Arabidopsis thaliana: one gene and its partner. The gene in region 2 interacts genetically with the main gene of each other region. Each region holds a gene or a part of one and is shown on either strand. Other genes may lie near its edges. The genes, in order: SNC1 and MOS14.

Region 1 (17,406 bases), on a different chromosome or scaffold from region 2:
CGATTAGATGGCTGAGGAACGTTTTGCGAACATCTACCCCACTGAAGCTTGGGAAAACGTCGTATCTCCGGCTACTAGGAGAAGAAGAAGAAGAAGCCATGGGAGACGATAGAGGGAACTCAGAGAAGAGACGAAGATTTTTAAGAGAAGTAAATCAGCAAGACATAGTGTGAGAAAGAGAGGAGAAACTTCGTCTTCCTTCCCTCCAAGACTTGCATAGAAGACTTACTGTACAAGATATTCTTTTAAGTGGCTAAAATCAAATCTCCTAACAAGACAATTGAGACGTAAATAATAAAGAAACTCGGCCCTTCCTTTCCTCGAAAGCTTTTTTACACTACATACAAAGATATTTTTGAAGATTGAATTTTTGTGGTTGTCACTGAATTATGATAAGTCTTAGTCTTTGTACAAGACAGAAATAATATTTCAATTTCTAGGCAAGTAGACAGAAACTTACATTCGTTTCCTCTACAAAGATATTTTGAAAACACAAATTTTGTGGTTATCAGTTGTCCTTGTATATAATGAAAGAATATGCGGAATTGTAGCAAAGAGTAAGAGAATTATGAAGAACAAGAGAGTTGGTATATGAGTGAGAATGACCAAATCATATTGATAGAATTAGTTAGTAACCTTTGTGTGTTTACAATGTATTTAAAGACACACAAAGGGAATATGACCGTTTACAATTAACGTAAGACTGAAAGAGACATGAGAGAAGAGGTTCCTTGGTCTTGATGGTGAGAGCGACTGGTCCTTGGTTGACCATGTCGCTAAAGACACTCGTGAGTCCTCTTCAACGGCTACAAGAGATATTTGTGCGCCTTCACTCTTTCTAGAAGCTCTCCATAGACTTCTCATGTGTTCGGCCCAACTCCTTGTAGCACATACCCAATACTAGGCCTTTCTCCTTATTTGTACGGATGAATCTCTTATTGAATCTTGATCAATATATAATATACGTATGAATTACCTGGACGCCTTCCCATAGCTTCTCAAGCTTGTTGTTACATCTCACTGTGAGGTCTTTGAGATGTTCTGGGCGAAATTTACTTGGATTACATCTCCTAAGGCAATCAAGATAACCGAGTCCAGGGAGATTCTTGTTCCATAAACAATCTGCTACCTCGATGTCAATTTCTCCTCTGAAACTGTGCATAATAATCTCAGGGAAATTTCTCAACTTGGGGCATCGTAGGAGATTGAGGTACTCAAGAGATTCCGAGTTGAGAGGAGTTGGAAAACTTTCTAGCACTTCGCATTTACAAAGATCTAGTCTCTCGAGGTTTGTGGCTAAAGAAAGATCTGGAATTTCTTTCAAATATTTGGAATTACGCAGAATCATCTTCTTTAGGCTTCCAAGTAACTGAAAACAAGGAAAGAGAGAATAACAGACGTTCGTAAACATTTCAAAAAATTCATTTAATTTTTTGAACAAATAAATCAATAAACATAACACATTTCTGTTTTCAAATTGACAACAAAAACAATAAAAAATTAGTACCTGAGTTCCATTCCACAGCTTCTCAAGGTCACTATCCTCCATTATGAGTTCAACCAGATACTCAGCCTTAAAATTAGAAGGCAAACGCTTCAATGGACAATAACGCCACCATAGGCATATGATGTTACTTGAAATCTGAGGGAAAAATCTCAAACTTGAGCTTCCATCACTATAATCCTGAGATGGAGACACATTCAAGAGATATTTTTGAAGATTGAATTTTTGTGGTTGTCACTGAATTATGATAAGTCTTTGTACAAGACAGAAATAATATTTCAAGTTCTAGGCAATTAGACAGAAACTTACGTTATTCGTTTCCTCTACACAGATATTTTGAAACACACAAATTTTGTGGTTGTCAGTTGTCCTTGTACAAGACAGTTTATCGTAAGAATGTACTTATGATTGTTTAATATCAAAGTCTTGTTTCCCAATACATACATGCACATGGATTAGGAGAATAAGTATATCGATTATGAGGATTTTAATTCAAATAATACAGTGAAAATACTAATTAACACTAACTCTCTAGTTTGCTAAATTACTCTTTTAGTTTTCAATAATTGTATTATTAGTTTAAAGTTTGGCTTACTGCGTCAGCAACCACTGTAGGCTGCGATTGCATTTGCTGTATTGTTTAAGGAGCATTTGGTTTCTAAGGGTTTCATGTACTGGATGGAAGAACTCGTGTCTGAGAACATCCTCTGCGCTGGTTCGTTGCCTCGGGTTAACGGTCAAACATCTATCCACGAAGTCAAGGAGCGGCCGTGGGATTGCGTCTAGAAACTCTCTGCGTTTGTGTTGAGTTCACACCATTTTCTCAACTCCAGCCCCTTCAACGTACAATTCTTGAAACAACAACACAAAAATCTATGTGCATTCAATTCATCTCTCACGATCATCTATCAAATCACTTTATCAGTAATTTACATTTTAAAGTTATATCATGTTCTGGACTAACAATGAAAACCATTTTATTTGAATCCATATGCTGGCGGCAAAGAAGAACAGAGCATTTGTATTATGTCACACAAATTCAGCAATCAAGTGAATGGAGAGTTTATAAGGGAGGTAAGATGAGATTTTACCTCAGGCAAAGAGGTTTCACTATTGTGCAGCTTGGCTACTTCCCATAAGTCTTCACTGCTTCGTAGTTACTCAATGTCCTTCACGTTCCTAGGAATCACAAGGTCGTTGTAAGACGGCAAGAAAGAAAAAAGAGTGGAATCGACTGATGGTGTATTATGTTTTTATTATTATTATTAGGTCATTGGTGCAATATCTGAAGCAAACCTGCACAAACCAATTCAGCTAAAAGAAGCACCAGAGAAATTAGCTTTCACATCCTAAATGTGACAATGACTAGCTCACTTGAGCTCAGGGTCGTGGTGGAGGTCGGTGAGTGGGACGGGTGGAAGCTGGTTTGTATGTATGGGGCTGTGGTGGTGGTGCGTTATGTTTTAATCACTGTTTTTTTACTGTGAGTGTAGGAAACGCCACGGTAGCAGTGATGCAATTGTTGCTGATGAGGTTGCTATTTAAAAATTTAGTTCCAACACTTTTTTGCTGTTGATAATTCTCTTGTGAAATACATTTTTCTTTACCAAATTTATTCATTGATTTAAAGAGAGAAAAATAACCTTTGGTAACATACACGTAGAGAGATATGTGTGTTTCAAAAGACAAGTGTGGAGAAAGTTTGAACCTTTAACTTGTTTCTTGCGGAATCTCTCACTATCACTCAAAGAAATTTGGATCTCTCGTGTGTTGACTTAGAAAAACGAATGAAGAAGAAATAGAAAGAGCACACACACACCATTTAACGAGTTCACGTTTCCAAACCGGAAACGCTACATCTCGCCGAGATTGTACTCGGAAATCCACTAGAAAGCTTGGTTTCGGTTACATAAACCCTAGAGGCGAACTGGACACTCCCAGCCGCCTCACCTAAACCCCCATCTAGCTCTCTTCTTGTTGTCTTTTAGGGTTCAGCTTGCCTCCTCTTTTATATGCAGGGTTCTCCTCTTTTTCTTCACCCTCGCATGCTCTGTTTTCCCGTACAGGGGAAGAAGACAAACAAAGCTTATGACTGAAGCAGAAGTTAATTACTCTTCTGTCCCTTGTCTATTTATGAGAAACACAACAGCTGTTTCTAGTGTGTTCTCAACTTCCCTTAGGTGAAACCTTCTTTGTAGACTAGAGTCTTTGGAAGCTTCTCTTCCCTGTAGAGTATCTTAACACTTAAGGCAAAACTCAACAACAAGACTGTTAAATTTACATCTTTTCAGGAAAGCGAATTTTTCAAAGAAGCAAAACAGAGAGAAGTAAGAACAGAGTGGTTCTGCTGTTCTGGACATGGAACCATAAAATTTTTCTAGTTGTCAGTACTCCATCATCTGCAGGAGAAAATGGCTTGTGTGAAAAACTAAGAAATAGTCTTGTCATTACCAGTATAGTCATGGTCGATCCCACGTTCATTACAAAACAGAGTTGTAATACGTTTCAGGTTGCCTTAACAATGTGATAAGCTGTGGAGACGGCTAAGGATCCAGGAAAGGAATGTTAACAATGTGAGTTCAGTCAAGGCAGATCTTTAACTGTTCAGGGTCAGCAGTGAAAGGTGTCGTCCCCATCAGACCACACGTCTATGTTAGGCCCTTGATGCAAAGATCTGAAGCAAATCAATTCAGTCAAGAACAGCCCCAGAGAATTAGCTTTCCATCCTAGATGTTCTAGTGAGTAGTTCAGGCCTACAACTTTAACTCTTTACGATACAATTAAAGAGTGCAGCGGCATGGGGGAACAGCAGCGACATGTATTCTCATCGACGTAGGATAGCTGGATGATACTTCATGGTTTGGAAGTGGACCAGACAATGTCTCCTGTAGAAAGTTTAAAAGCTCTTTCCTTCACCCGAAGGATTGTTCCTTATGCTGGTTACATCTTTGGCCGAAGTTAGGCCAAAAACGCTTCTGCCTTTTGGCTATTGAATCAGCGGATATGCAAATGTTGCTGATTCTTGTTGTTTTCTGTACCCAAAGTCTGATTTATTCATTGCTAATAAAGAGAAAAACAACCTTTACTAACATAAACCTTGACATCTATGTTTTAAAAAAGGCAAGACTATTTTGGGTAGTACCTGAGTTCAAGTAGGTACGCTCCCAAATTCAATGTGGAAATAGATAGATGTATGGTACAATACAAAACCATGCGAAAGATGTTTTTCCAGAATATGCTAAAGTGTGGCTTTCTGAAACATTTATTCTTTCAGGAAAAGCGAAATGTTCAAAACAAACGCAGAGTTGGATAATGTAATTAATTATCATTATCATTATCATTATAGTCATAGTCGATCCCAAGTTATCCTAAAACAGAGCAAAACAGAATGATAAGATGTTTCAGTTACCAGAAACAGGAAACAAGATAGGAATTCCTTTATCTTGTTCTTCAGTTATCATGTAATCAACACACAAAGCTTCCCCCTCTAGAGATGTTGATGATGATGGTTCTCCCTGCCCTAACGAAAGCTCCATATTTAGAGCGGCCAATCCTGTGTCCGCTACAATTAGGCCATAGGGTAAGTTGATATCTTCTTCAGATGTCCCCGATGTCATCTGCATTATAAATCAAACGATAGATTCTATTAAATAGTCTGTCCCTATGGTATTTCGATCCTGGAAAATCAAATCAAAAGTCAAAAGATACCCGCATCCGCTTCTCGCTTCTCGTAGTCTGTTGGTTGTTCTCTTCTTGAGAGACATACATGAGTCGTACACCGCATTCTTTGATCCTATTGGAGCAACAAAACTTAAACTCCACATCGTTGAAATTCAATTTAGATGGAAGATCTTCAGACCGGAACTTGAAGGAACAGAAAAACAGATGATCCGTCTTACAAAGCTCCAGTTCTGCATCTTTAGAAAATGATTTCTGATACTGTTTGCCATTGAAGCCAACGTTTACCTTCAAGAATGGATAAAAACCCTTGCCCTTGGAGAGAGGTTCAACCACGACGCAAGCCTTAAATCGCAAGAAATTTTGAGAAAGAGAGCTCTGAGGTACAATGACAGTTAGGGAATCTCCATAAGCTCGATACGTGAAATACTTAGGGATTTCTTCACCTGGTAAGGCCACAGGCTTGAAGCATGATCGTAGGATGAGCTCTCGCGCATCTCTATCCAATTTGAAGCAATTACGGAAGCTAAAATGTTCCTGGAGGTATGCAACACGATACAACTTATCCCAGATATATTCAATGTTTTCAGATAATGGTACACAAGAAACGTGGTCTTCCATTGTCGCTACCACAGTTGCATCACTCAACGCCTTGATGACACCTCTACAGTCTGTAAAGTCGGCGAGCTCAAGTCTTGTAAGTCTGAAAATGTTTGGGGAGATGGTTTTCAACCTCTGGCAACAATACATCATAAGTACAGTGAGCCTCGTGAAATCCTCAATGCAGCAGGGAACTTCTTCAATGGCGGTGTTTTGCAGATAGAGACATTCGATTCTAGTTGAAATCAGAGGAAAAGTTCTCAGACTTGAGCAACCACTGAGATCGAGGATCATAAGAGATGACAAGTTGACATCGGTCGGAAGAACCTCCAGCCCTGTGCATTCTTTCATTTCTAACTTCACCAATCTATGAAGATTCCCAATTGTAGAAGGGATTTCTTCAATGGCGGTGTTTTCCAGATAGAGCCATACAATATTAGTTGAAATCAGAGGAAAAGTTCTCAGACTTGAGCAACCACTGAGATCGAGGATCATAAGAGATGACAAGTTGACATCGATCGGAAGAACCTCCAGCCCTGTGCATTCTTTCATTTCAAAGCTCACCAATTTTTGGAGATTTCCTATAGTAGTAGGAAGTGTCACCAAACTTTTGCAATTGTTGAGTTTCAAATTCTTCAGATTAGTGGCCTTTGAAAGATCTGGAATTTCTTCAATGGCGGTGTTTTCCAGATAGAGCCATTTGATACTCTCTGAAATCAGAGGAAAACTTCTCAAACTTGAGCAACCACTGAGATCGAGGGTTTCGAGAGATGACAAGTTGACATCGGTCGGAAGAACCTCCAGCCCTGTGCATTTTTTCATTTCTAACCTCACCAATCTATGAAGATTCCCAATTGTAGAAGGAATTTCTTCAATGGCGGTGTTTTCCAGATAGAGCCATACAATATTAGTTGAAATCAGAGGAAAACTTCTCAAACTTGAGCAACCACTGAGATCGAGGGTTTCGAGAGATGACAAGTTGACATCGGTCGGAAGAACCTCCAGCCCTGTGCATTCTTTCATTTCCAACCTCACCAATCTATGAAGATTCCCAATTGTAGAAGGAAGTGTCACCAAACTTTTGCAGTTGTTGAGTATCAAAGACTCGAGCTTGGTGGCCTTTGAAAGATCTGGAATTTCTGTCAGGTTTTCAGATTCTGACAGATCCATCCCTTCGAGACTTCCAAGCGACTGAAAAAAACATTGGTATGCTTCAATCATTATCGATGATAATCATTTTAATTTTATACTGTATATGTTTAAAATTATAATTAAACATTATTATAAGACATAACCGTGGTAAGACATAACCGTGGATCACAAGCCATAATAACAAATTTGGGTATAGTTAATTAGTTATATAACAGAAGGTAAACAAAAATCAGCATAGCATTAACAATGTACCTGGATGCCTTCCCATAGCTTCTCATGCTTGTAGCCCCTCACATTGAGAAAAGCGAGTTGTTCTGGGCGAAATTCACAAGGCATACATCTCGTAAGGCAGTCGAGATAATCTAGTCCAGCAGGGAGATTCTTGTTCCAGAAACAATCTTCTACCACGATCTCATTTCTCCCTTCCGGAAAGTCAACGTCTGAACATCCCATTTTGATTGCTGGAAAGTTTCTCAAATTCGGGCATCCAGTGAGATTGAGGTACTCGAGAGATTCCAAGTTGAGATCGGTTGGAAAACTCTCTAGCTTTTTGCAATCACTCATATCTAAATAGATCAGTTTAGTGGCATTCTGAATCGAGGAAGGAAGTGTCACCAAAGATTTGCATCCAACAAGATCTAATTCCTCGAGGTTTATGGCTAAAGAAAGATCTGGAATTTCTTTCAAATTGTTGGAATACCTCAAATTCATCTCCTTGAGACTTCCAAGGGGCTGAAAACAAAATATGGAAAAAGAGAATACACACGTTCACAAATATACCACAGTTCTGTTCTAAAAACTGACAACTAATAAAATTTAGAATTCGTACCAGAGTTCCTTCCCACAGTTTCTCAAGCTTACTATACTTCATTATGAGGTTAACTAGATATTCCGCCTTAAAAGTAGATGGCAAAGACTTCAATGGACAATCATCCCAGTCTAGCAATCTGAGTTTAAGGGGCAAATAAACGAGGCTCTGAGGTAGATCCCCGTAATAACCAATTTCTAGATATTGCAGATTACGCATGCCTTTGAACGATTCTTTATCTATTAATAACGGCCTTGTCGAAAAATATTCCTCGAATGGCAAACGTATTCCAAGAAGAGTTTCTGTCCCCTGAAAAAAAATCCGAAGAAAACTAATATAATCTTAACAATCGCAACCCTTTTTAATTTTCTGACACATCAAAGCTACATTTTAATTACGCATGAGGCAACAATTGCTTAAGTTTATCAATCCCCAAATTACGATTATATTAATATAAAGTCATGCATTCAAACGGAGCTGCGAAAAAAACTTACAGTTTTCTCGGTCACTACTTCATGAATATCTTCAAAATTCGTCAGAAATCGACGTTTTCCAGGATTACCCTTGGACTTTGCACGATCAATTTCTCTACCCAATTTCTCTAGCAAATTGTGCATCTCTATATATCCATCCGGTGTAATACGTATGAGGGACTTCTCAGTCAACATTGTAAACCCAACATTATCTTTAAGTAAATCTTTGACGTAACTGACTTCAAAACCATTGAATAAACACGCGATGTAAAGGAACATATCTTGATCTTTTTGATGTAATCTATCGTAGCTGACTCTTAATGTTTTCATAATATCTCCGTTCAAACCATTTCGGAGCCTAGGCATCATCTCCATCCACCATTCTTTGGTCCTTCCCTTTAAAGACGAACCAAGGACACTAAGACCCAACGGAAGATTACCGGCAAGCTTCGCAACTTCAAATGCTAGTTCCTTAAAATCATCAGGTGGAGAGTCTTTCCCAAAAGCAGATCGGCATAACATCGTAAGAGCAAGATGTTCAGATGGGAACTCCACCTCATATATAAGGTCAATCTCATGAGCCTTGAGAAGTTGCCTATCTTGAGTGATCACAATTATTCTGCTTCCAGATCCAAACCATTCAGCTTTTCCCACCAAGGTCTTAAGAAACTCTAGACTATCCACATCATCAAGAAGGATAAGAACTTTCTGTTGCTTTAACCTTTGCTCCACCACACCAAAATGCTCTATCTTTATGTCCTTTTGACCTAAGATTTCCGAGAGAAGTTCTTTTTCCCACCTCAACTTCATGCCAGAGACGTCACTACCGCTGGTGCTTTTATATGTTATGAAAGCGCGATGGTGGAACTGGATAGAGAGTTTACTGTAAAGAGCTCTTCCTATGGTACTCTTACCAATCCCTGATTGTCCCCAAATCCCGACCATTATTCTAGCTTCCTTGGATTCCAAGCACAATACTGATTTTATTGCCTCTATATGATTTTCAATTCCGACTAAGTCGCCAAAATCATCCGATGGTGTCATAGTTTTTCTCAAAACATCCTCGGCAAGCTCTTCAATCATGGCTGCTTCACTAGGCCTAATAACAATAGTCAACTGTTTCATTAAAGAAGCAACGCAAAACAAAAAAATCACGAAGTCTATTCATTGAAATACCATTTCCGAAGATCATATCCGGCCATAACTGCAACAGCTGCTAGAGCTTGCTTCCAACTTTGTTTCTCATCCTCTGATTTAGCCTTGCATGTCTCTTCAAAGACCTTTCCAAATTCGCCGGTCTGTTTTTTAACTTCCGAAGCATCAACGTGGAAGAAAATCGGAATCACCATTTGATTCAAATTCGTATAACACTTGTGAATCTCCACCAATTCATTCAGGCACCAGGTGGATGAAGCATAGTTCTTAGAGAAGATAACGATTGCTATTCTCGATTCTTTTATTGCCGATAAAAGCTCCGGGCCGATTGAGCGGCTCCTCTCGATCTCATCATCTATGAATGTGATTGCTTTGCCCCTGAGCTCCTTGAGAAGATGGCTGAGGAATGAGTCACGGACATCTTCTCCACGAAAGCTTGGGAAAACGTCGTATCTCCGGCTGCCAGAAGAAGAAGCTATCTCCATATCATCATCTTTGGATGTATCCATCATTTCACGGTCGAGCTCGAGCTCCTTGACAAGATGGCCACGAAACAATTTGCCGAAATTTTCTCCACTGAAGCTCGCGAAAACATTGTATATCCATCTGAGAACATTGTATATCTATCTGAAGCAAGAAGACGCCATGGCAGAGGATGAGAGAGAAGAGACGAAATTTCTCAAAGGAAAACTCTTTGAAGTATATCAATAATACAACACAGTAACAGAGAGGAGAAACTTGGTCTTCCTTTCCTCGAAGACTTGTATAGAAGACTTACTATACAAGATATTGTTTTAGTGGTTAAAATCAAATCCCATTACAAGACAATTGGGACAAATAATACGTAAACTTGGTCTTCCTTTCTTAGAAGACTTGCATAGAAGACTTACTGTACAAGATATTTTTTTAGTGGTTGAAAAATCAAATCCCTAACAAGATAAGGCCATAATTATGTGATACAGAAACTTCCCCTTCCTTTCCTTGGAAAGCTTCTACTCTATAACGATAAGTCAATTTTGTGGCTATCAGTCGTCACTGAATTTATCTATGATGATGAGACGTAGCCATTCTACAAGATTTCAAGATAATTTCTAGGCAAAATAGACAGAAACTTCCTCGAGAGCTACTTTTCCTCTCCACAGATATTTTTGAAGACCCAAAATTTTGTGGCTGTCAGTGGTTCAAGACAGAAACAAGATTTCAATTTATTTTAACAATGTTAAGGTTCACTAATATCAAAAGTCTGGTTTTCCTATTCATACTGTACATACATGCATGGAAATTAGGAGAATAATTAGTATATCGATTATGAGGATTATAATTCAACTAATAATACAGTGAAAACACTAACAACAAACTATCTAGTTTTCTAGAGCTGTGTGGTGTGGACAGTGGAGAGAATATTTTCATGTAAAGTTTTCTTGTTTACATTTACAATTGTAATATTAGTTTAGAGTTTTGGCTTACTGTGTCAGCAACCACTGTAGGCTGCGATTGCATTTGCTGCCGTTTAAGGAGCATTTGGTTTCTAAGGGTAGGTTTCATGTACTGGATGGAAGAAGTCGTGCTTGAGAGCATCCTCTGCACTGATTCGCCGTCTCGGGTTAACGGTCAAACATCTATCAACGAGGTCAAGGAGCGACCATGGAATTGCATCTAGAAACTCCATGCGTTTTGGGTTGAGTTCGTACCATTTTCTCAACTCCATCCCTTTCAAGTACCTTGACTTGTACAATTCCTGAAACAACAACACAAAAATCAACCTGAACTCATCTCTCACGATCATCTATCTAATAATTTTGTCGGTAATTTACATTTTTAAGATATATAATGTTTTGGAACACAAAATGCTAACAATGAAAACCCTTTTGTGATATTTGAATCCAAATGCTGGCGGCAAAGAAGAACAGAACATGTATGTTATGTTCACACCAATGCAGTAATCAAATGAATGGAGAGTTTACAAGGGATGAAAGATGAGATTTTACCTCATGTAAAGAGGATTCACGGTTGTGCAGCTTGGCTACTTCCCATAATTCTTCACTGCCTCGTAGTTGCGCAATGTCCTTTATGTTCCTGGGAATGACAAGGTCGTTGTAAGACGGCAAGAAAGAAGAAAAAAGTGGAACCGAGTGATGGTGTATTCAGTCAAGTCAGATCTTAACTGTTCAGGGTCACCAGTGAGAGCTTTCCTTCCCATTATGAGGTATAACAAAGTAACTCCCGCAGAACACACGTCTTTTTTTAGGTCCTTGGTCCAAAGACCATTCAGCCGAGAACAGCCCTAGAGAATTAGCTTTTCCATCCCATCCTAGATGTGTTAATGAGTAGCTCAGGGAACAAGATATTTTCATATGGATTTAACTAGTATCAAGGGAAGTGATATATCTGCAGGAAAAATGGCTTGTGTCAAAACATATGAAATCGTCTTGCCATTATCATTATAGTCATGCTCGGTCCCAAGTTATCCTAAAACAGAGGAAAACCGAATAATAAGATGCTTCAGTTACCAGAACCAGAATTCAAGATAGGAATTTCTTCATCTTGTTGTTCACTTATCATGGAATCAACACACAAAGATTCCCCCTCCAGAGATGGATAAGAAGAAACTGATGATGCTTCTCCCTGCCCTAACGAAAGCTCCATATTTAGAGCGGTCAAGCTTGTGTCCGCTACAATTTGGACACAGGGTAAGTTGATATATTCTTCAGATGTTCCCGATGTCATCTGCATCGTAAACCAAAGGATCGATTCTGTTAAATAGTCTGTCACTAAGGTATTGATCCTGGAAAATATAATAAAACATCAAGAGATAGCTTTGCAATTTTCAGTTCTAATTATGTCAAAAGGCTTACCCGCATCCGCTTATTGCTTCTCGCAGTCTCTACAACATCACATTTTTCTCGAGACTGTTGGCTGTACTCTGTTTCAGAGCTTCCATCACTATCATCTGGAAATGGAGACACATTCAAGAGTCGTATACCACATTCTTTTATCCTCTTGGAGCAAGAAAAGTTAAACTCCACATCGTTGAAAGTCAATTTAGATGGAAGATCTTCAGGCTGGAAGTTGAAGGAACAGAAAACCAGATGATCCGTCTTACACAACCGCAGGTCTGCATCTTTAAAAAATGATTTGCAATACAGTGTCCCATTGAAGCCAGCATTTACCTCACAATATGGACCCCAACTCTTGCCCTCAGTTAGAAGGTCAACCACGATGCAAGCCTTAAAGCAAGAATACTTGAGAAAGAGAGCTCTAAGGTAAAGTGACAGTTAGGGAATCTCCATAAGCTCGATGTTGAAAATACGTTGGCACTTCTCCACCTGGTAAGGACATAGGCTTGAACAATGACCGTAAGATGAGTTCTCGCGCATCTCCATCCAATTTGCAGCAGTTCTGGAAGAGATAATGAAAGGCCCCGATCCGGACTACCTAAGTCCGGACGAGATCTCTCGACCCAAGTCACTAAGTGACTCGACCCAAGTCACTAAGTGACTCGACCCTAACCATTTATGAGGTTCATTCCCTAGTGTAATCCGTTTCATACAATTCTGTGATTCAATATATGAGACGAATAGAGTAAACAAACAATCGGATACTTTATTAATTAAGTAAAGGATTCGATACAACTTATGAGTTTGCATATAAGCTATTACAAGTAATTTAATCGATCCCTAGACTATCCGAAACTATCACCACCCATCATTCCGGCCTTGAGTCTCTCGCGCCTAAGCCAAGTCCTTCCCACTATCACCATTGGTTCCTGAAAGTCATAGAGCCATAAGTAATTTCATTTACTTAGTCATATGCAAGTCCATGCAATGCTCCATAGTCCTTACACTACTCGGATCCGCGGAGAGGATTCGGAGAAGGGAAGATCGCGCATAAGTCCGGCCGATTCTCGGTAGGTCAATTAAGACCCGCCGGTCCTCCGCCGAGCCGCGTCTCCGCCCCAGCCGATCCCTTGCCCGGACCGAGGCTTGTGTAGGTTGCACATGACCCGATTCTACCCAGCCCATTAGTCGTTCCTTTCAAGGAATCCCGACTCATTTAACGCATTCTAGAATCCTTAGACTCGAGGTCTAGGATTCCTTACCTTCCTTCACGATGTTCGGTCGATCCGACCCTTCTTCTTCCTTGCCGGCCACAGTCCGCCTACCGATTTCCTCCGATGATTTATTCTCCCGAAAGGGAGAGAGTTTAATGGTGAGTTTCCGGTATTTTCCGTGTGTTCTGCTGCCTCTAAAGGTCTTGGGCGCCCTCCCTTATATAAGGAGCGAATTGATGCTTCCCGAAGGATCACCTCCGTTCCTTGCACCTTTCCGAAGAGTTGCATCTCTCGGTCCGTAACTGCTCGCCCTTATCCACCCTTTGGGCGAGCACCCGTTCGACCGTAACCGCCCAAGTAACCGTCCGGGTAACCGCCCAGCTGGTCAGACAGTCGACCAGCTGCCTCGAGCTCAACCGTCACTCGCCCAGCTGCTCGAGCTGGACTGTCACTCAACCCGAGTAACCGTCACTCCTTCCAGCTGAGCTTGAGCTTCGGACGAGCTGACCCAGCTGATTCCTTTACGATCCTAGCTTAGCCCGCATGATTTCCCTTTGTCCGAGCTTATGGCCAACTCCTTCCCACTTGTCCGAGACTCCACCTTCTTTTCTCGGACCAAGTCCCAGCCAACGATCCTATTGAGGATCGCGGGCGTTACAAGTCTCCCCTTTGAATTGGATTCGACAAATCGAATCCAAGTTGATCTTTACCCATCTCCTTGAACCACTCCGGAAAATTGGCCTTCATCTTAGTCTCGGTTTCCCAAGTGTATTCTTCACGGCCTCCACAATTCCACAAGATTTTTAACAAATCCATTGATTTCCCCCGAGTCCCTTTCTTCATTTGGTCCATGATCCGTACCGGCCATGCTTCCACCGTCATGTTCTCCTTTAACCCAGGAGGTACATCTTCCATGCTTTCTTCTTGTTCACTTAAGCACTTCCGTAGTTGTGATACATGAAAGACATTGTGAAACGCGTCTAGTTTTGGAGGAAGGTCAAGTTTGTATGCCACCGCCCCTACTCGTTCGATCACTTTGTACGGGCCAACGTACCTTGGCCTTAACTTTTTCCTTGATGTGAATCGCCCTGCCCCTTTGTAGGTCATCGCCTTTAAATACACCAAGTCTCCCACTTGGAATTCTAATTCCTTTCGACGCTTGTTGGCGTAACTTTTCTGACGATCTTGGGCTTCCTTTAACTTGATTTTTAAGAACTTCATTTTCTTCGTGGTTTCATCCACGACCGCAGGTCCGAACAACCGACGTTCGCCCACTGGCGTCCAACACAACGGTGTTCTACCAGCTCGGCCATACAACGCCTCATAGGGAGACATACCAATACTAGCTTGAAAACTGTTATTGTACGCAAATTCTACTAACCTTAGATATTTCTCCCAGTTTCCTCCCCAATCCAAGACGCATGCCCTCAACATGTCCTCGAGGGTTTGAATCGTTCGTTCGGACTGTCCGTCCGTCTGTGGGTGATATGCAGTACTTAGATTCACTCGAGTCCCTAAGACCTTTTGAAAAGGCTTCCAAAATTTTGACGTGAACCTTGTGTCTCGGTCCGACACTATACTAACCGGAATCCCATGTAATCGCACGATCTCGTCTATGTACTTCTCGGCAATGATTTCGGCTGCATCCTTATCCGAGATTGCCATGAAGTGCGCAGACTTAGTCAATCGGTCTACTACAACCCATACCGCATTGTGTTTGGACTTGATCCCCGTCGGCAGTCCCGTGACGAAGTCCATCATTATATGGTCCCACTTCCATTCCGGTATAGGTAGGTTTTGTAACATTCCACTTGGTACTTGATGCTCTTCCTTGGCTACCCACCTGGCCACATCTTTCTTCATTCCTACCCAATGGTAGTATCTTTTAAGGTCGCGATACATCTTGTTCGACCCAGGATGGATCGAGAACTTCGATTGATGCGCTTCTTTTAGGATTTCCTCCTTCAACGCCTTATCGTTCGGCCCACATACTCGACCGTTCACCACGATAGTACCATTGTTCGAGCTTTGGTACTCGGTTTTATTGTTTTGTGCCCACCCTTTTATTTCTTCATCTCGTTCTTGAGCCGACCGGATCCTACTAAGTAGGTCGGCTTGATTGGCGGCTCTCAACCCTAAGGGTTCAACTTCCTTAGACAAAGCATTCAAATGCAATGTCCCCATCATGTTAACCAAATTCACTTGGTTCCTTTCCGCTTCCACTACCGTGCGCAGCCTGCTCAAAGCATCTACAACTTGGTTGGCCTTGCCCGGATGGTACGCTATGTTCAAGTCGTAATCCGCCACAAGTTTTATCCACCTTCTTTGCCTTAGATTTAACTCCGGCTGGGTGAATATGTATTTTAGGCTCTTGTGGTCAGTAAAGATTTGAACCTTGGCACCATACAAATATGATCGCCAAATCTTCAACGCAAATACTACCGCGGCCATTTCCAAATCATTCGTAGGGTAGTTCTTCTCGTGTTTCCGCAATTGCCTCGAGGCGTATGCGATAACACTCCCCTTTTGGATCAATACGCATCCTAGTCCTACTATGGATGCGTCCGTGTAGACCGTATAGGGCTCACCTTCCTCCGGTAAGACCAACACCGGTGCATTAGTCAACATGGCCTTTAACTCCAGGAAGCTTCTCTCGCATTCCTCCGACCAGTTGAATGCGGTGTCTTTTCCGGTCAATTGAGTCATGGGTTGGGCCATGCTCGCAAATCTCTCGACCCAAGTCACTAAGTGAATGGACCCTAACCATTTATGAGGTTCATTCCCTAGTGTAATCCGTTTCATACGATTCTGTGATTCAATATATGAGACGAATAGAGTAAACAAACAATCAGATACTTTATTAATTAAGTAAAGGATTCGATACAACTTATGAGTTTGCATATAAGCTATTACAAGTAATATAATTGATCCCTAGACTATCCGAAACTATCACCACCCATCATCCCGGCCTTGAGTCTCTCGCGCCTAAGCCAAGTCCTTCCCACGATCACCATTGGTTCCTGAAAGTCATAGAGCCATAAGTAATCTCATTTACTTAGTCATATGCAAGTCCATGCAATGCTCCATAGTCCTTACACTACTCGGATCCGCGGAGAGGATTTGGAGAGGGGAAGATCGCGCATAAGTCCAGCCGATTCTCGGTAGGTCAATTAAGACCCTCCGGTCCTCCACCGAGCCGCGTCCCCGCCCTAGCCGATCCCTTGCCCGGACTGAGTCTTGTGTAGGTTGCACATGACCCGATTCTACCCAGCCCATTAGTCGTTCCTTTCAAGGAATCTCGACTCAATTAACGTATTCTAGAATCCTTAGACTCGAGGTCTAGGTTTCCCTTACCTTCCTTCACGATGTTCGGTCGATCCGACCCTTCTTCTTCCTTGCCGGTCACAGTCCGACTACCGATTTCCTCCGACGATTTATTCTCCCGAAAGGACGAGAGTTTAATAGTGAGTTTCCGGTATTTTCTGTGTGTTCTGGTGCCTCTAAAGGTCTTGGGCACCCTCCCTTATATAAGGGGCGAATTGATGCTTCCCGAAGGATCACCTCCGTTCCTTGCACCTTTCCGAAGAGTTGCATCTCTCGGTCCGTAACTGCTCGCCCTTATCCACCCTTTGGGCGAGCACCCGTTCGACCGTAACCGCCCAAGTAACCGTCCGGGTAACCGCCCAGCTGGTCAGACAGTCGACCAGCTGCCTCGAGCTCAACCGTCACTCGCCCAGCTGCTCGAGGTGGACTGTCACTCAACCCGAGTAACCGTCACCCCTTCCAGCTGAGCTTGAGCTTCGGACGAGCTGACCCAGCTGATTCCTTTACGATCCTAGCTTAGCCCGCATGATTTCCCTTTGTCCGAGCTTATGGCCAACTCCTTCCCACTTGTCCGAGACTCCACCTTCTTTTCTCAGACCAAGTCCCAGCCAACAATCCTATTGAGGATCGCGGGCGTTACAGATAACCTGCCCTACAGGCC
Region 2 (14,364 bases):
CAACAAAAAGCAGTCATCGGCTATATCTGGTCTCGCAGTGACTTCCTGTAAGAATATAAACAGAATCAGACACCACATCGGATATTAAAACTAAGAACTTGAAGATAGTATTTTACTATGTGAAATTCGTCAACCTTGATACTTGTCATAAGACATGTTGTATGTGCAAAGAGGGTTTCAATCAGGTTCTTCAAGTAGACAGCACACGATGGATCAGAACCAAAAATCTGCAAATCCCACAAAAATTAGAGTCTCTAAAGCTTTTCTATAAGCATTCCACTGAATGGAAAGAACACAAATTACCTTTATAACTTCACTGGATAAGTATAGAAAGCATGGCTGATGATGCTGCTGATAATGGAATTGAATCTTTTCCAGCATTTCTCCAATTGTATCAATTATGTATCTTCCAGAAGTACGTACCTACAATCATTGCCTTCTTTTAGTGAATTATCCTCTATCAAAATTGTCATCCGACATATAGTTTTAGATTTTCTCTTATGTTCATAGACATGGAATGTCTAGCAAACAAAACAATGGTGTTCAGGAATGTCCAGGAAGGAAGTAGGTAAAGAAAAAGGAAATGAATCTCACAGCATATTTGCATGCCCTGCATAGAGATTCCATAGTCCTCATGTCCCAAGGACGACTGCAGTAAAAACCATTTCAAAGTAAGAGGCCACATAAAAGCAATTTGAAGAGAACATGTTAATCATCATGCGCCTAGATTCACTTACGCATCAAAAATAACTCGGAAAATTGCCCAATGCTTATTAATCTCAGCAGCCACCGCTTCAGGGTGGTTCACATACCTAATGTGGTAGCATTTGTTAGTAACACTAAACAAAACACATGGAGATGTATCGCATCATTGAGATATTAATACACAAACCTGAAGAGGAAGGCAAATCGGTCAATATGAACAGTTAATTCACGTGCATGCTTCTTCTCCAAATCTTCTTTCGCCGCTTCCTGATTCACAGATTCACAGTTCCCATCATTATAAGTCTTGACAGTATATCAAACAACCATGCAAATAGTCAAGATGGCAAACCTCTAGAGGAGAGGCGGCTGAAAAGCATAATTTTTCAAGAGCGCCCTTGGCCTGATCTAAAGGCAGTTCGGTAACAACCATACTGCACAATCAAATTTTAGAGATGTCAATAACACACAAATGAGATCTAATCCATCATTCAGTTGAATCCATACCCTAAAGCTTCAACGAGATTTAGTGAATCCTCAGCAGAGACTTTATAACCACCACCGCCATTGATCGCCATACAATAGATATTAAACAAATCTTCAAAATACCCACAAAGATTTTTTCGGCAATCTACAATGAAACATTATTTAAACAGGCATCAGATATTTACAAAAGCAAATTTGTAACATTTTGAATCCAGTAAGAGAAAACGCCAAAACTAATATATGCATATCAGGTCAACAGAAAAACACCTTCCTGTATCTTTCATTTTGGGGAGAAGAGGAAAGAGGAAATTGATTAACAACAAGCAATCAACAATTACAGAACATTAGTTGTTAGATAGCTACAAGCTTTTATTTAGTATCAGTATGGTTTCACACCATATATCATGAAAAGTAATTTGAAAATCGCATTGACGTAAAAACAAAACTGGAAAACAGAATTCAGTCCAAGGAAAAGCATTCAACAAAATTCCAAATACTTGCCAGTATTGCAATGCACCCTATATGCTAGCAATTCAGTAGAGTCGAAGTCAGATCCGTTAGCGTAGGTTCCAGTCAGACCTTTCGACTAGCTGCCATCTTTGAAGTAGGTCAGTATGCACAATTCGATTGATTTTTACAGAGGTGAGAACTTCATACTTCCTAAGAGAAAACTAACAACCAAAATTTAATTTAGTTTGCAAGTGAAAGAGTTATAACTATTAAACTGATTTCCTGAATTTTTGTAGTCCATGAAACTATTTAGCCATGAAAAATCAAGATGAGAAACCTTCTCAACAGCCCTAAAAGACCGTTTTTTTTATATAAAAGGGGAGCTGGTTTAAATCAAAATCCAATGCTAAAGCCTAAAACCAAAATATCTTTGCCATGGTTTCTCATCCAGGAAACAACAAAGAAATAAGATAGCCAGATTTGTAGTGCGTTTTTGACATTATTGTATTGCAAACCAATTGATGACCAAAGTTTGTATACTAGTCCTTGTATGTTTGAAAATGATTTTGCAGAGAAGAATGTATACTTGTCATAATGTCAATGTTATGCTCAGAAAATAAAAAGAAGGGATCAAATTTGGAAGAGAGAATACAATACCGTCACAAGTATGTCTAAAAGCCAAAGCTGCAGCTGCTGCGCAATCTTCAGATGTGCCCATTCCACTCATAAGAATTCTAATGATTGATGGTAATATTGAAACACTGGCTGGTGCAGCATTAAGCCATTTTGAATATGCCCCAACAAGTAAGCATGCTGAAATCAAATAGGGAAGCAGATATCTTGCATTAAAGAAAAAGCTTCTTTCGCATAACTTGGAAGGTTTCTGTTGCGCATACACTAGTGGTTTCCACCAAGTAGCTATTCACCTTCTACATATAAAACTTAGAAAGAAAAGCTATTCACCTGTCTGAAGTAGTTGCGCTTGCTGAGGAAGATTTTGAAGCAACGCCATCACCTGAAAGCAGAATTTAAGAGAATGAAAATTCCACGCATGAGAGATAGAACGGAATCTAAAGCCATTCAAACTTTAAACACTCAAGACTTTATAAGACACGGACCTACAAGCCTTTCATCACACAAAAACAATATGGAAACCCATAATTCATAGGCAGTGAGAAAAAAAAAATAAAAAAATTTGGCAGCAGTAGCTTGGAGGAACTATGTATAATACAAACCTGGGGCATCACTTCAGCTTCAACAACCGAAACATAATTTGATATTGCCCATATACAGAACAAAATAGCTTCTGCTGGACGCCAATCTTGAAAATTGTTTCCTGTCTGGGCATTGGCCTAAGTACATATTTCACAAATGTCAAAGATGCTGAAATCCAAAAGGTAAATAAAATGTAACTGTTTGGTGCTGATAATCCTAATTGTGTTCTACCCTGATCGTATTTAACTTTTTCAGTATATAAAAATGCTGATTCAATATCTCCCAATGCTTATTTTGTATTTAATGATAGAACAGATATATGCATGGAGATCCAAAGCACAAACCTCAAGAAGCTTCATATAGAGAATCTTAAGAGTAGTATCCCCTCCCAGGATTAACGCTGCATCTATTAATACATCTGCAACAGCTGAAAATGTCACAAACTTCATCAGTGAAATTAGATAGACAGAGCAACATTCCAGAGAAGTAAACAAGAAAATGAGGTAATTGGTCCCATCAAAGATGATTGAGAGCACAATAAGAAGTACATATCAACAAAAGTATGAAGAATAGGTAAATCAAAAAGTGACGTTACGAGATACAGCACCATACCAAAGCTAAGTGACTAAAACAACCAAAAACCTCAGAAGAACAATACTTTATCTGCGTCAAGAAACAAGTGTAAAGGATTGAAACATAGGGAGAACAACAGTGCTAAGCAAACAAATTACGAAAATCTAAGGTCGCGCTGATCTATTTGGGAAGCTCTGAGGGGTACACTTATTCCTTAGCACACTTAACTCAAAAGATCTTGATCTAATGTAATATTGAGAACAAGTAATACACCGCTTTGATTACCATATCTAGTCTGCTTGAATTCCTTAAGGTCCTCATATGAGAGGCCTTGATAATCTTCAGGATACTGAACTCTGAAGCCAACCTGTGAAGGGAAACCAGTGTATAGGTGACATAAACTGCAGAGCATACAATAACCCATATGATTTTCTGTTTCCACCAAAAGATGATCGACCAAATAAACTTTAGAAATCAAGAATTTTTTCAAAGAGCAATATTAATTTAAGCATAAGTCACCCGAGCATGAGAATTCAATTTTGTCTCTCTGGATTAGAGCAAACCAATAGAAACGGCCTGGGTTCAACAACGAGCTTCAAATATTCTTGAAAGAGTAAAACATTAGAGTGGTATCTGATGACTCACTCACCAAAGATACAAGGCTCTGATAAGCTGGCTGAAAGATATGCAGTCTTCGGTTTCTCTCAACTTCAATGGATGCTTCACTACCCAATGAACTATAAGATTCCCTGAAGATTAAAAATCACACTCTCAGAATATGACCCTAGGAACACCCAAAAACATAGAAAAGGCTGAAGTTACCTCTTTGTCAACATAAGTTGAAGACTGTGCCAAAAGTTGAAGGTCATCGAGGCTATATCAAATTCTGGGTGTGCAGTAACTTCCAGCAGGGCATGCACAATAACCATTGGTTCATCTGAACCTAGAGGCCAGAAATAGTACCTTCAAACATATTAGATTACCAACTAAAGCATTTTGCGCACCAGAGGCCAAAAGCAATCAAGACACATGAACCAGAACACTTAAAATAACAAGACAGAGTAGCAGAAATGAGGCCGTATACCAGTAGCTATTAGTTCAACATATGAATCGCCTACGTCAGCGAATAATCGACCAATAGCTTTGACATCTTCTTCATCCTGAAAGAGAAATAATTCTAAGAATCAAAAGAAAGAAATACAAACATATGCCAAAAATTACAACACATTATGAGGGATATCTTTAGCCACATATCAAGTCATATAAACAGAATATAACCCTTTTAGCACTACAGTTTAATTAAATTAAACAAGGATAGGCCATTAGTTTCCTACTATTTGATGCATCTGATAACCTTTTCCCTTAATAGAGTCCACGAGCAACAGAATCATAGCCGTTCAAGCCAGAGACCAGTGAAACAGAAAATTTGTGAAATAATGAAGCTTAATATCAAGCAGATTCAGCCATCAACTTGTATCAATACCAAAGGTAAACAGTACCTTTGAAGAATCTCTTAGATGGGCCTGAAGACTTAAAATCTGAGGCACAATAACTTGAATCAAGGGTGTTTGTGCAGAAATACCACCAGAACTTGGTGATGCTGTGTGATGTATCAATTCAGAGATAACTGCGAAGTTGAAAATGAAGTTTCTCTATTAAAACTCTAATAATGAATTCTAAATTGAAGGAAACATTGGCTTGTAGGTTGAAAACTAATAGAAGGCTATTTTCTATTTGATAAAGAACAAAAAAATTCCTGCTCATTATAATGAAGGTGAAAAAACCATCTTAAGGCAATGCAGTATACACCCAACACACATCAAACACTAATTTCCAAAATTCAACAAGAAAAGCTTAATAACCAATTTCTAGAAGCTCAATTTGCAAATTCTCGAACTTCGCATATTCCAACTAAGAGATAACAGGTATGCTAGAAATTTCGCAGCTCCCATAGTGTTCCAATACCAGAAGATATCACAAAATAACTCATCCATAAATAGTCTCTATTCAGTAAAGATATTTCAATTTACGGGGAAAAATATATCAATGTGAAGTATCCCAAGACTCTAAAGGCCTATGTATATATTAGCTTTTCCAACTAGTATACCATTAACAGATGCCTCTGATAGTGGATCACAGTTCAAACTTGAGAGAGCTGCATGCACCAATGGATGACAGGCAAGCACTGTTCCAGGAATCCTGAAAAAGACCACCCCAAAGTTCACCAGTATACAGTTCAGTCAGTATCATCGTTGCTAAGTTGAATTGGTGAAAATAAAGAAGGATAGCAAGTAGAAACCAACAGCAACAAATCAGATAAACTTAGCTTTGTGTCTAAGATGATTCTATATAGGACAAAATCTATGACCCATATATTAAAACAATTTACAACCTGACGAACTCGCAATGAATATTTGTAATCTAGACGAGCTTTTGTTCTAAATAAAACTGGAGATAGAAAAGCAAAAGAAAAGAGCATACCCATGCCTAAGACGGAGCCAAGAAGCAAATGCCTCGAGAACCTGAAAAATCAAAATTACAGAACACAATTGACAATAAGTGACTTCTTGCAACACCAAAAACACTAGCTGGTCCAACACACAGGAACATGGGACATTTTTCAGAAGCTAACAATAATGCAAGAAGACATATTAAATTTTGGCAGGTGAGTGAAAACCTAAGATGTAATCAAGCTTTTACCTAAAACTAGCAAATATGTTTTGACAAGGCAAACATAGACTCTGACTGGTAAAGAAAGTAAAAACTAGTGGAAAGTAAAAAAACAGACATGCATCAGAAAACATAAAAAGAAGAAGGTTATTTTGATGTGTTATACAGAGGGATCATGGAAAGTGAATAACAAACTATGTACTGAACTATGTCACGACTCTATATTAAAGATAAGCTCTGACCTGTTCCTTAAGTTCGGATATTTTCAAACATGCTGATAAGATACTAAGTGCAGCTTCCATTTGAGAAGTAAGCTCTTTTTCGAATTGACGTCGTCGATCCGGACGAGCAGCTATTTTGTAGTTAAATGTTTCCTGGTCATAGCAAGAAGGACAATATAAGATCAAGACATCATATAACCATCTAGATTAAAGCTAAACATTCCTAAAGTGAATCAAGTTAATGAAAGGGAAAGGTCAAACGATGTGGTAGAGATTTGTGAAAAAATTAGAATCTTCATTTAGTTACAAATAAACTACCAACATTTTTTGCAAACAATACCATACAAAATATCAAGGTCTTGCCCAGCCAATACTTTAGGGATTGAAATAACACTCACAGAGTAACGTCGAATGCTACCTAAACATAGATATGGAAAAAGTAAAAAAGGAACAGAATATTCTCCAAATAGGTCTACCCAATTTGAGGTCAGTAATACCAGCATAAATAATAAGTAAGAAGATCCAAGTCAGACCAAAATAAGGCCTTTCATATCTATATAGCCGGATACATGAAGTCAAATTAATTACTGAGTGAGATGAACACTTAAACAAAGGAATAAAAAATACTCTACCTCGGGCAAAACTGTCAAGAGTTCCAAGAAACCAGGCACATATTCAGGATGCATATGCATCTCATCCCTAAGCCAGCTAATTATACCACCATCTCCCCAGTCTGCCGCAGGAACATGCACCGCCAAGGCAGCAACAGCAATGCTAATCTACAATATAAAATACTTAAATAAGATAACTCGACACAAAGTACATGACTTTATACGCACAACAGAAAATTCCACATATGCACTTACCTGGGTCCTAACTTTTGGAGGGCCCTTGTGGAACTTTTTTAACAATGTCTGCATTTGAGAAAATAATGAAAGTCAAAATTTTCCGGGAAGTAATTGTCCAATACCAAGAATAATAGGCCAGAAAGATGAAATCATAGTAAAACCTAGATCCCAGAATACTCTAGTTCAACTGAGTTTTCCTATTATGTTATTGCTCAAAGGAACAGACATACTAATGAATAACTCATGAAACCCTACAACTTTGGAAGAAATAGTTAATAGAACAAAGAATTACCGTTAATGATTGCCGTAGCTTCTGAAAAGCCCCAGGTGGTAGTTCTTCAAAATCTCGTTGAACCTTCGAGTGAGACAGACTAGATGTCACCAGAATGCTCCAAGATTGTGTGATAAATGAATAAGGATTTACAGAAACATTCAGGTGCATTTACCTTGCTTCGAAGGGTCTGAGAACAGAATATCAAAGTTTCCAAATTGCTAGAAGAATCATGAAGTAAATTATCCGCAACCTAGAAAACATACAACAGCACAGAGTAAGAAATATTGTAGAACTTCTCCATCAAAAAAAATCCTCTTCTCCGCAACAACAATCATGGGTCTAAAAGAAAAGAGCTCATATAAAACCTAGCTAATCGTTTCTCTAACAAGGTAAATCTATTCACACACCTTACACATACTTCTCAAACCAGCTACAGGAAAAAGTGCACAATTGAACTTAGATGTACTGAAAATTCGAGATTTCTGCTATGCATAAGCCTATATGACCTTAACAAGCGAATCGCTAATACAAATTGACTAAAGGATGAAAATTTATGCACTTATATAGTCTAAAGTAACTCAGAAATGAACTTAGACGTACTGAAATTTTGAGATTTCTGCTATGCATAAGCCTATATGACCTTAAAGAGCAAATCACTAATACAAATTGACTAAAGGATGAAACTTTATGCACCTATATGGTCTACAGTAGCTGAAAATCGAACATTAAACTCTAGCACAAGTGCTACAAAACAAGGAAGAACAAATCGAACCTAAACAAATCGAGATTAAATAATTGAAATCGAAAAGAAAAAACTCGCCTGCCAAGCATCGAGAGTTCCTTGGAAGTTCTGAAGCCAGCGATCAGCGTGCACACGCACTGTATCATCCGGGTGATGATACAGTGCGTTTAGGGCTTCTTTGACCGCGTTCTGATGCTCCATAGCTATGAATCTTTACGCGTTATTCGCTCGTACGGTCACCAAATCACGACCAGAGAGAAAGACCCAGATTGAGAAATAGAAGAATTTGCCCAACTGAAATTCGGGATTTTGTCAAATCGATTTCGCCCAACAAAAACAATAAAAATAAAAACTTTTTTTTTCCCTCTTTGTCAAAAAGGTTTTTTTTTGGCGCCCCTCAACTTGAGTGAGGAAGAGAGATAGAGATCGAATTTTGATCTGAAAGAGGATGAAGAAGAGAGAATCTCAGCCGTTAGATACAATTACTTTGACTTAAAGTCAAATCCTTCTTCTTTTATTTTGAAGACAGAAGTTGTTTACTTTTTTTCAGTTGTTGCAATAAATTGAAGACAACAAAAAAAACGTATCATTGATTCATCATAACATAAAGATTATACAAAGGACAAGATTTAAGACCAACATATGTTACTGAATCAATTGTTACAAGTTATATAATAGGACAATACAACAATGTTTTATAAAGTGTTAATCTCTCTGGTCACTCTCATATTCTATCTTATGATATAACAGCAAAATGATACACACGCATAGGATAAAAAATAAAGGGTTGCATTCATTTTTACTGCCTACAAAACACATCCATCAATCAGAGAAAGACTCTTTTTTATGTGGTTCGGTTAAAGTTCCCATCAACCTGCATATGGAGCCACTCCGGTTGAGATACTCGGGTTTCATTAGCTTCTTGTTGCTCGTATATTGTTCGATGAACGTCAATCGGTAAAGTCCCGAGCTGATACAACACACCAAGAGCTTTTAGATTTAGTAGCTTTGATTAAGAAAGATAAGATTTTTCTATGTTCTTTTAGATTTGGGACTTACATCACCGGAAGGAAAAACTCCTATTGTCGGACCAGTACTTGCACCCGAGTTAACAACTTCTAGCTTCATTGATAGAAACTGCAGACCAAACTCCATGCTTAGGCATGTATAATTGTAACATATAACAGAGAGGTGTTAACGACTTTTACCTCAACTTGCCGCTGCAATGACTGAATATAATTGATAATCTCATCGAGCACAAGGGCTTTTCCGATTATCTGATCAACAGAAATATCTTGTTGAATGTTTTTTAGGCTATAATAACATCATTCACAAGCAGGGACCAAAAGAACATGTACCTTATTACATCCTGGAATTATATCTTGAAGAGCTGTCATCTTCTCACTGATCTTTTCTCTTCTAGCCTGTCAAAGACAACATTGTGATTCTAATAAAAGGAACAGTTTTTGAGGATAAAATTTATGGTGATTTTAGCAGAAGAATTACTCGCTCTGCTAAACTATGCCGGTCAGTAGCTTGTCCTCTTCTTGCTCTCACATGAATATAATCCTTTGGTGGCTCAGGTTTGTTCTTCTGTTCCGTTGCTTTGCTTCCACCACCACCCGAACTTGTTTCGCCTTCAGGTCTCATCGAACCATCTCCATTTCCACTTTCAGATCCACACAGTTTTCTTTTCTTATCCCCTGATTCTTTCTATTAAAAAAGTAAACAGATGGAAAGCTTTAAGATCCTAAATCAAACTCTCAATCTAAGATCACTAAGTAAGCATTGACCATTCCAACATCTATCAAACTAATGGTCTTCAAGCTGAATCCAACTTAAGTCAAAAAGTCAATGGAGATAAGTCATCTAATCTATAAACTAATCCTTGATCCCTAAACCAAAGACTTAAACTTTGACTCATTGATTTTTAGATCACCACCAAGCTAAAGGATCTAGATTCAAACATTCAAAAGACCCAACAAATAAAAATCAGGACTTTTCAAAAATTGAAGTGCAAAATCTCACCAATTCATTACCACTGCTGCTGGAAGAAACCATCTTTGAAGAATCATCCTCAGAGTTCAAATCTCTAGTCTTTCTACTTCCCCAGCCAGCAGTTAGATCGGTGACTGTAGATTCCTCAGCCGCGGAGACGTCTTTATTGCCGGAATGTTCAGAGCGAGTAAAGACTCGACCGGAGTTAACAGCTAAACGGAGACCAGAGCGAACGGCGTCGTTTACAGGGAAAGGCCAAATCTCGGAGAGAGTGTAAGAAGAAGGATTAGCTGCAGAGAAGGAGGAATCGTTCACTAGTGGAGGGTCCATTTCCGATGATCGTAAAAAGGGTTGACCCAGATTTAGGACCCGGATCCGAGAAGTGAGGAACTTGATAGAAAAAAAGAAGGAAAAGGTTTGAGCTTTGCGAGGTCTTGTCTTGTTTATAGGGTTGTGTGTGAGGTGGACAAATAGAGAGAGAGATCGGAGAAGGTAAGACAGATGTGGGTAGTGATAATGCGCCACTAGTATGCAATGGAAGATGATTTATCACCAATACTTTCAGAAAATCTCATTAATTACACAGCTTACATCAAATATTTTGCCGTTTCTGTTATAAAAAAAATATTACAATGGTAAAATTTTCGTTTCGTTTAGAAACAAAATTGAATAGAAAAGATATATTATGGCGCAATAACCTAAATAATTTCTATCAAAAATAAAAAATAAAAATCTCACAATTATGTCTTTTAGTTATCCTTTGATTAAATTATTTTTTACTGTGAACAACTTTGGTAATTTTACTGTGAACAACTTAAATACACCAAAGGACAATGCATCTCTCTTAGAAAAAAATACATACTAGCAAAACCAAATCATGTTACTTTGGTAATTTCATTCTGACGTGTTTAAGGAAAAAACGTATATGTTTGGATTAAAAATTTGATCTTCGTACCATATGTCCATCCTAGTAAGTACTCGATCGCCTATGTTTACAATAATATTCACCAATTAGTGTTTTTTTATTTAACATAGATCTCCCACTTCATAGTCATATGTTTTATGAAAGTTAGTTGTGTAAAGTGAAGGGAACCACACACCGGTACGTAGGATACGATCGAGGATGTGACAATGGGCCATATATTTAAATTTTAAATGCTTAATCACAAAAGCCAAAATTCTAGCTAAATATATAAAACGCTAATATGAAGGATAGATGACATGTGTTTTAGTCTTTTTGTTTGCATGTCAACGTTCTTCACGTTAAATTTTTAAAAATTCAGAAGCTATAGTTTTATTATGTTCAATGTAGTTTTAGCCTTTTTGGTAGATGACATGTTCAAGGTAGTTGCGGAAAAATACAAGGAGCCAAGAGTGTCATTTTTCGTTTCGATGATTTCAACCTTCATTTGTTGTGTTTATTATAAAAGTTTGTATTTTTGAATGATGAATACAGAGATATCAAACGTTTTTAAGAATACAGTATATAACAAACAAAAAAGCTCTAAAACTATTCACTGAGTTAAAACTTTTAAAAGTCAATTCTATAGCATTGAATGCTCTAAATGTGTAGCAAGAAAATTGTTTAAAGACCAACAAATTAGAAATTGATGTTTTTCTGCAAAACTTTTTTAATTATTAATTTTATTATCGAATTAAGTGGAATATGTTTATATTTTGATGAAATAATGAAAAGGTGGAAAAGACAAGTGTAGAAAGAGAAGACACCTGGATGCAAAGGTGTCACACATGAAGCCCAATTCCTCTCTTTCCATTTTTCCCATAAAGCTTTTTTGCTCTACTCATCAAGATACCTCTAATAAAAAAACAAGAAACACTATTTTTTTGTTATCAATTTCTTCTGTTCATTTCAGTTTGGTCATGAAATTAAGAAAATTAATAGAGAGAAAAGTCAAAAATAAAAACATGAGCATAGGAGTACTATGTGACTTCATTGGTGATGGAATGACACAGTTGGCCGATTTAGCACCGACTAAGTAGACATTAATCAATAATAGTTTAAATTTCAAAATAAGAATCATATCTACTAAACAATCAAATACATATGATTCCATCTACTATTATTGTTTTTTTTTAATTTATAAATCATATAGTACTAATTAACTAATAATTTCACATTCTGTCTCGTGTAATCAAGACAACCTTTTCGATTTGTTTTTTTGGTCGATTTGCTTAACCTTAAAAATCTTATTACTTCAATTATAAGATTAAAATTCGACAAAAACATAACGTTTTTCCTTTTTATTCTACTGGTGGTGGAAATAATCATCTAGAATAATAAAATTACTTTAATTTGAAAAGATAAATCCAACGAATCTATAACTTTAATCGAAAACTAAATAAAATAAGGAAAAAGAGAAGATTTAAAAGCGAAGAAAAGATTCGAAAAAGAGAGAGAGAGAGATGGACCAAAACGGCGGTTTATTCAGACGTCAGCAGCACTAACTAAGAAAGAGGAGAGAGCTTTAACTCTTCCCCTTGCTGCTTCCTTCTCCAAATTCTCCTGACGCGTTTCTGTTCATCTTACGATTTTACACGTCTCTCTAAAGATTTAAATTTTCGACTTTACGTTTCTTTCGGGTTTTGAATTTTCTCACTAAAGATTTGTCTTTTCCATAGAAAGTTCTTGAATTTTCTCTCTTCGTGTTCAAAGGGTTTTTCAGAATTTATAGTAACCCACCAATCTACTGATTGTCTCCGTTCATCGTAATCTCTCAAGATTTGATTTTTATTTGTTTTTTGAAATTTTGAATTTTGAGATTCTGTTCCTCTTTGATCATCATCACTAGGGTTTTCTGTTTCCAGTTAAAAAAAAGTTTGGATTTTTCTTCGTATAATTTAGGAATGAGGAAGCCCAAGTTGTCAAAACTCGAGAGGTTAGAGAAATTCGACATTTTCGTTTCTCTAAGCAAGCAGAGATCGGTTCAGATACTAATGGCGGTTGGGTTACTCTACATGCTTCTTATCACATTCGAAATCCCTTTCGTCTTCAAAACCGGGCTTAGTTCTTTATCTCAGGATCCGTTAACCCGACCCGAGAAGCACAATAGTCAGAGAGAGTTACAAGAGAGACGAGCTCCGACTCGACCTTTAAAGAGTCTGCTTTACCAGGAATCACAATCGGAATCACCGGCTCAGGGTTTAAGAAGAAGGACTCGGATCCTTTCTAGTTTGAGATTCGACCCGGAAACGTTTAACCCGAGTAGCAAAGATGGGTCTGTGGAGCTTCATAAATCTGCTAAGGTAGCTTGGGAAGTTGGTCGAAAGATATGGGAAGAGCTTGAGTCTGGGAAAACGTTGAAAGCTTTGGAGAAGGAGAAGAAGAAGAAGATTGAGGAACATGGGACAAACTCGTGTTCTCTCTCTGTTTCCTTAACCGGGTCTGATCTTTTGAAACGTGGGAATATCATGGAGCTTCCATGTGGTTTAACTCTTGGGTCACATATTACAGTGGTTGGGAAGCCACGAGCTGCTCATTCGGAGAAGGACCCTAAGATATCGATGTTAAAGGAAGGAGATGAAGCTGTGAAGGTTTCACAGTTTAAGTTGGAGCTTCAGGGTTTGAAAGCAGTGGAAGGAGAAGAGCCACCTCGGATACTCCACTTGAATCCAAGGCTTAAGGGTGATTGGAGTGGTAAGCCTGTGATTGAGCAGAACACTTGCTATAGAATGCAATGGGGCTCAGCACAAAGATGTGAAGGATGGAGATCTAGGGATGATGAAGAGACTGGTTAGTGTAGATATGTTCAAAAGCATTTATCTTTCATCTGTTGTTTTTCTTGGTGTTTTTGTTGGGGATACTAATTAGTAAGAATGGTTGTAGTTGATGGTCAGGTTAAGTGCGAGAAATGGGCTCGGGATGATAGCATTACATCTAAAGAAGAAGAGTCTAGCAAGGCGGCTTCATGGTGGCTTAGTCGATTAATAGGTCGGAGCAAGAAAGTAACTGTTGAATGGCCATTTCCATTCACAGTTGACAAGCTTTTCGTGCTTACTCTTAGTGCTGGATTGGAAGGCTACCATGTTAGTGTCGATGGGAAGCATGTCACTTCCTTTCCATACCGAACTGTAAGTGATGTTTTGCCCTGGCTTAAACATGTTGTGGTTTGATTAGTGATTGGTGTGAACTGATGGTTGTCTATGTGCGTGGTTTCTTGGCAATAT

What was found.
Region 1: of MOS14 (region 2) and SNC1, changing one suppresses a phenotype caused by changing the other (phenotypic suppression), as found in Arabidopsis thaliana (one study listed by BioGRID).

What each region holds. Positions count from the first base shown.
Region 1 is NC_003075.7:9,495,601-9,513,006, forward strand, and holds SNC1 (TIR-NBS-LRR class disease resistance protein), read right to left. Parts: upstream 10,231-17,406; 5' UTR 9,883-10,230; coding exon 9,392-9,882; exon of another isoform or gene 9,341-9,391; coding exon of another isoform or gene 9,315-9,340; coding exon 8,237-9,314; intron 8,052-8,236; coding exon 7,764-8,051; intron 7,667-7,763; coding exon 7,187-7,666; intron 6,974-7,186; coding exon 5,213-6,973; intron 5,122-5,212; coding exon 4,906-5,121; 3' UTR 4,671-4,905; downstream 1-4,670. Other genes in the region: RPP4 (Disease resistance protein (TIR-NBS-LRR class) family), read right to left, coding at 1-100; AT4G16880 (Leucine-rich repeat (LRR) family protein), read right to left, coding at 950-1,369, 1,508-1,549; AT4G16900 (Disease resistance protein (TIR-NBS-LRR class) family), read right to left, coding at 16,729-16,943, 17,048-17,172, 17,253-17,328, 17,393-17,406. UniProt on the Arabidopsis thaliana protein: Disease resistance protein of the TIR-NB-LRR-type. Part of the RPP5 locus that contains a cluster of several paralogous disease resistance (R) genes.
Region 2 is NC_003076.8:25,124,092-25,138,455, forward strand, and holds the start of MOS14 (ARM repeat superfamily protein), read right to left. Parts: upstream 8,626-14,364; 5' UTR 8,383-8,625; coding exon 8,260-8,382; intron 7,690-8,259; coding exon 7,612-7,689; intron 7,521-7,611; coding exon 7,458-7,520; intron 7,232-7,457; coding exon 7,184-7,231; intron 7,097-7,183; coding exon 6,950-7,096; intron 6,471-6,949; coding exon 6,339-6,470; intron 5,949-6,338; coding exon 5,908-5,948; intron 5,626-5,907; coding exon 5,534-5,625; intron 5,054-5,533; coding exon 4,926-5,053; intron 4,587-4,925; coding exon 4,511-4,586; intron 4,370-4,510; coding exon 4,249-4,369; intron 4,176-4,248; coding exon 4,076-4,175; intron 3,794-4,075; coding exon 3,712-3,793; intron 3,281-3,711; coding exon 3,198-3,280; intron 2,991-3,197; coding exon 2,874-2,990; intron 2,654-2,873; coding exon 2,602-2,653; intron 2,452-2,601; coding exon 2,296-2,451; intron 1,334-2,295; coding exon 1,210-1,333; intron 1,137-1,209; coding exon 1,055-1,136; intron 973-1,054; and 11 more. Other genes in the region: AT5G62610 (basic helix-loop-helix (bHLH) DNA-binding superfamily protein), read right to left, coding at 9,026-9,151, 9,241-9,318, 9,390-9,458, 9,540-9,605, 9,688-9,894, 10,210-10,509; AT5G62620 (Galactosyltransferase family protein), read left to right, coding at 13,045-13,930, 14,024-14,268. UniProt on the Arabidopsis thaliana protein: Functions as a nuclear import receptor for serine-arginine rich (SR) proteins. Regulates nuclear import of SR proteins that are required for proper splicing of the two resistance (R) genes SNC1 and RPS4, a crucial step for their functions in plant immunity.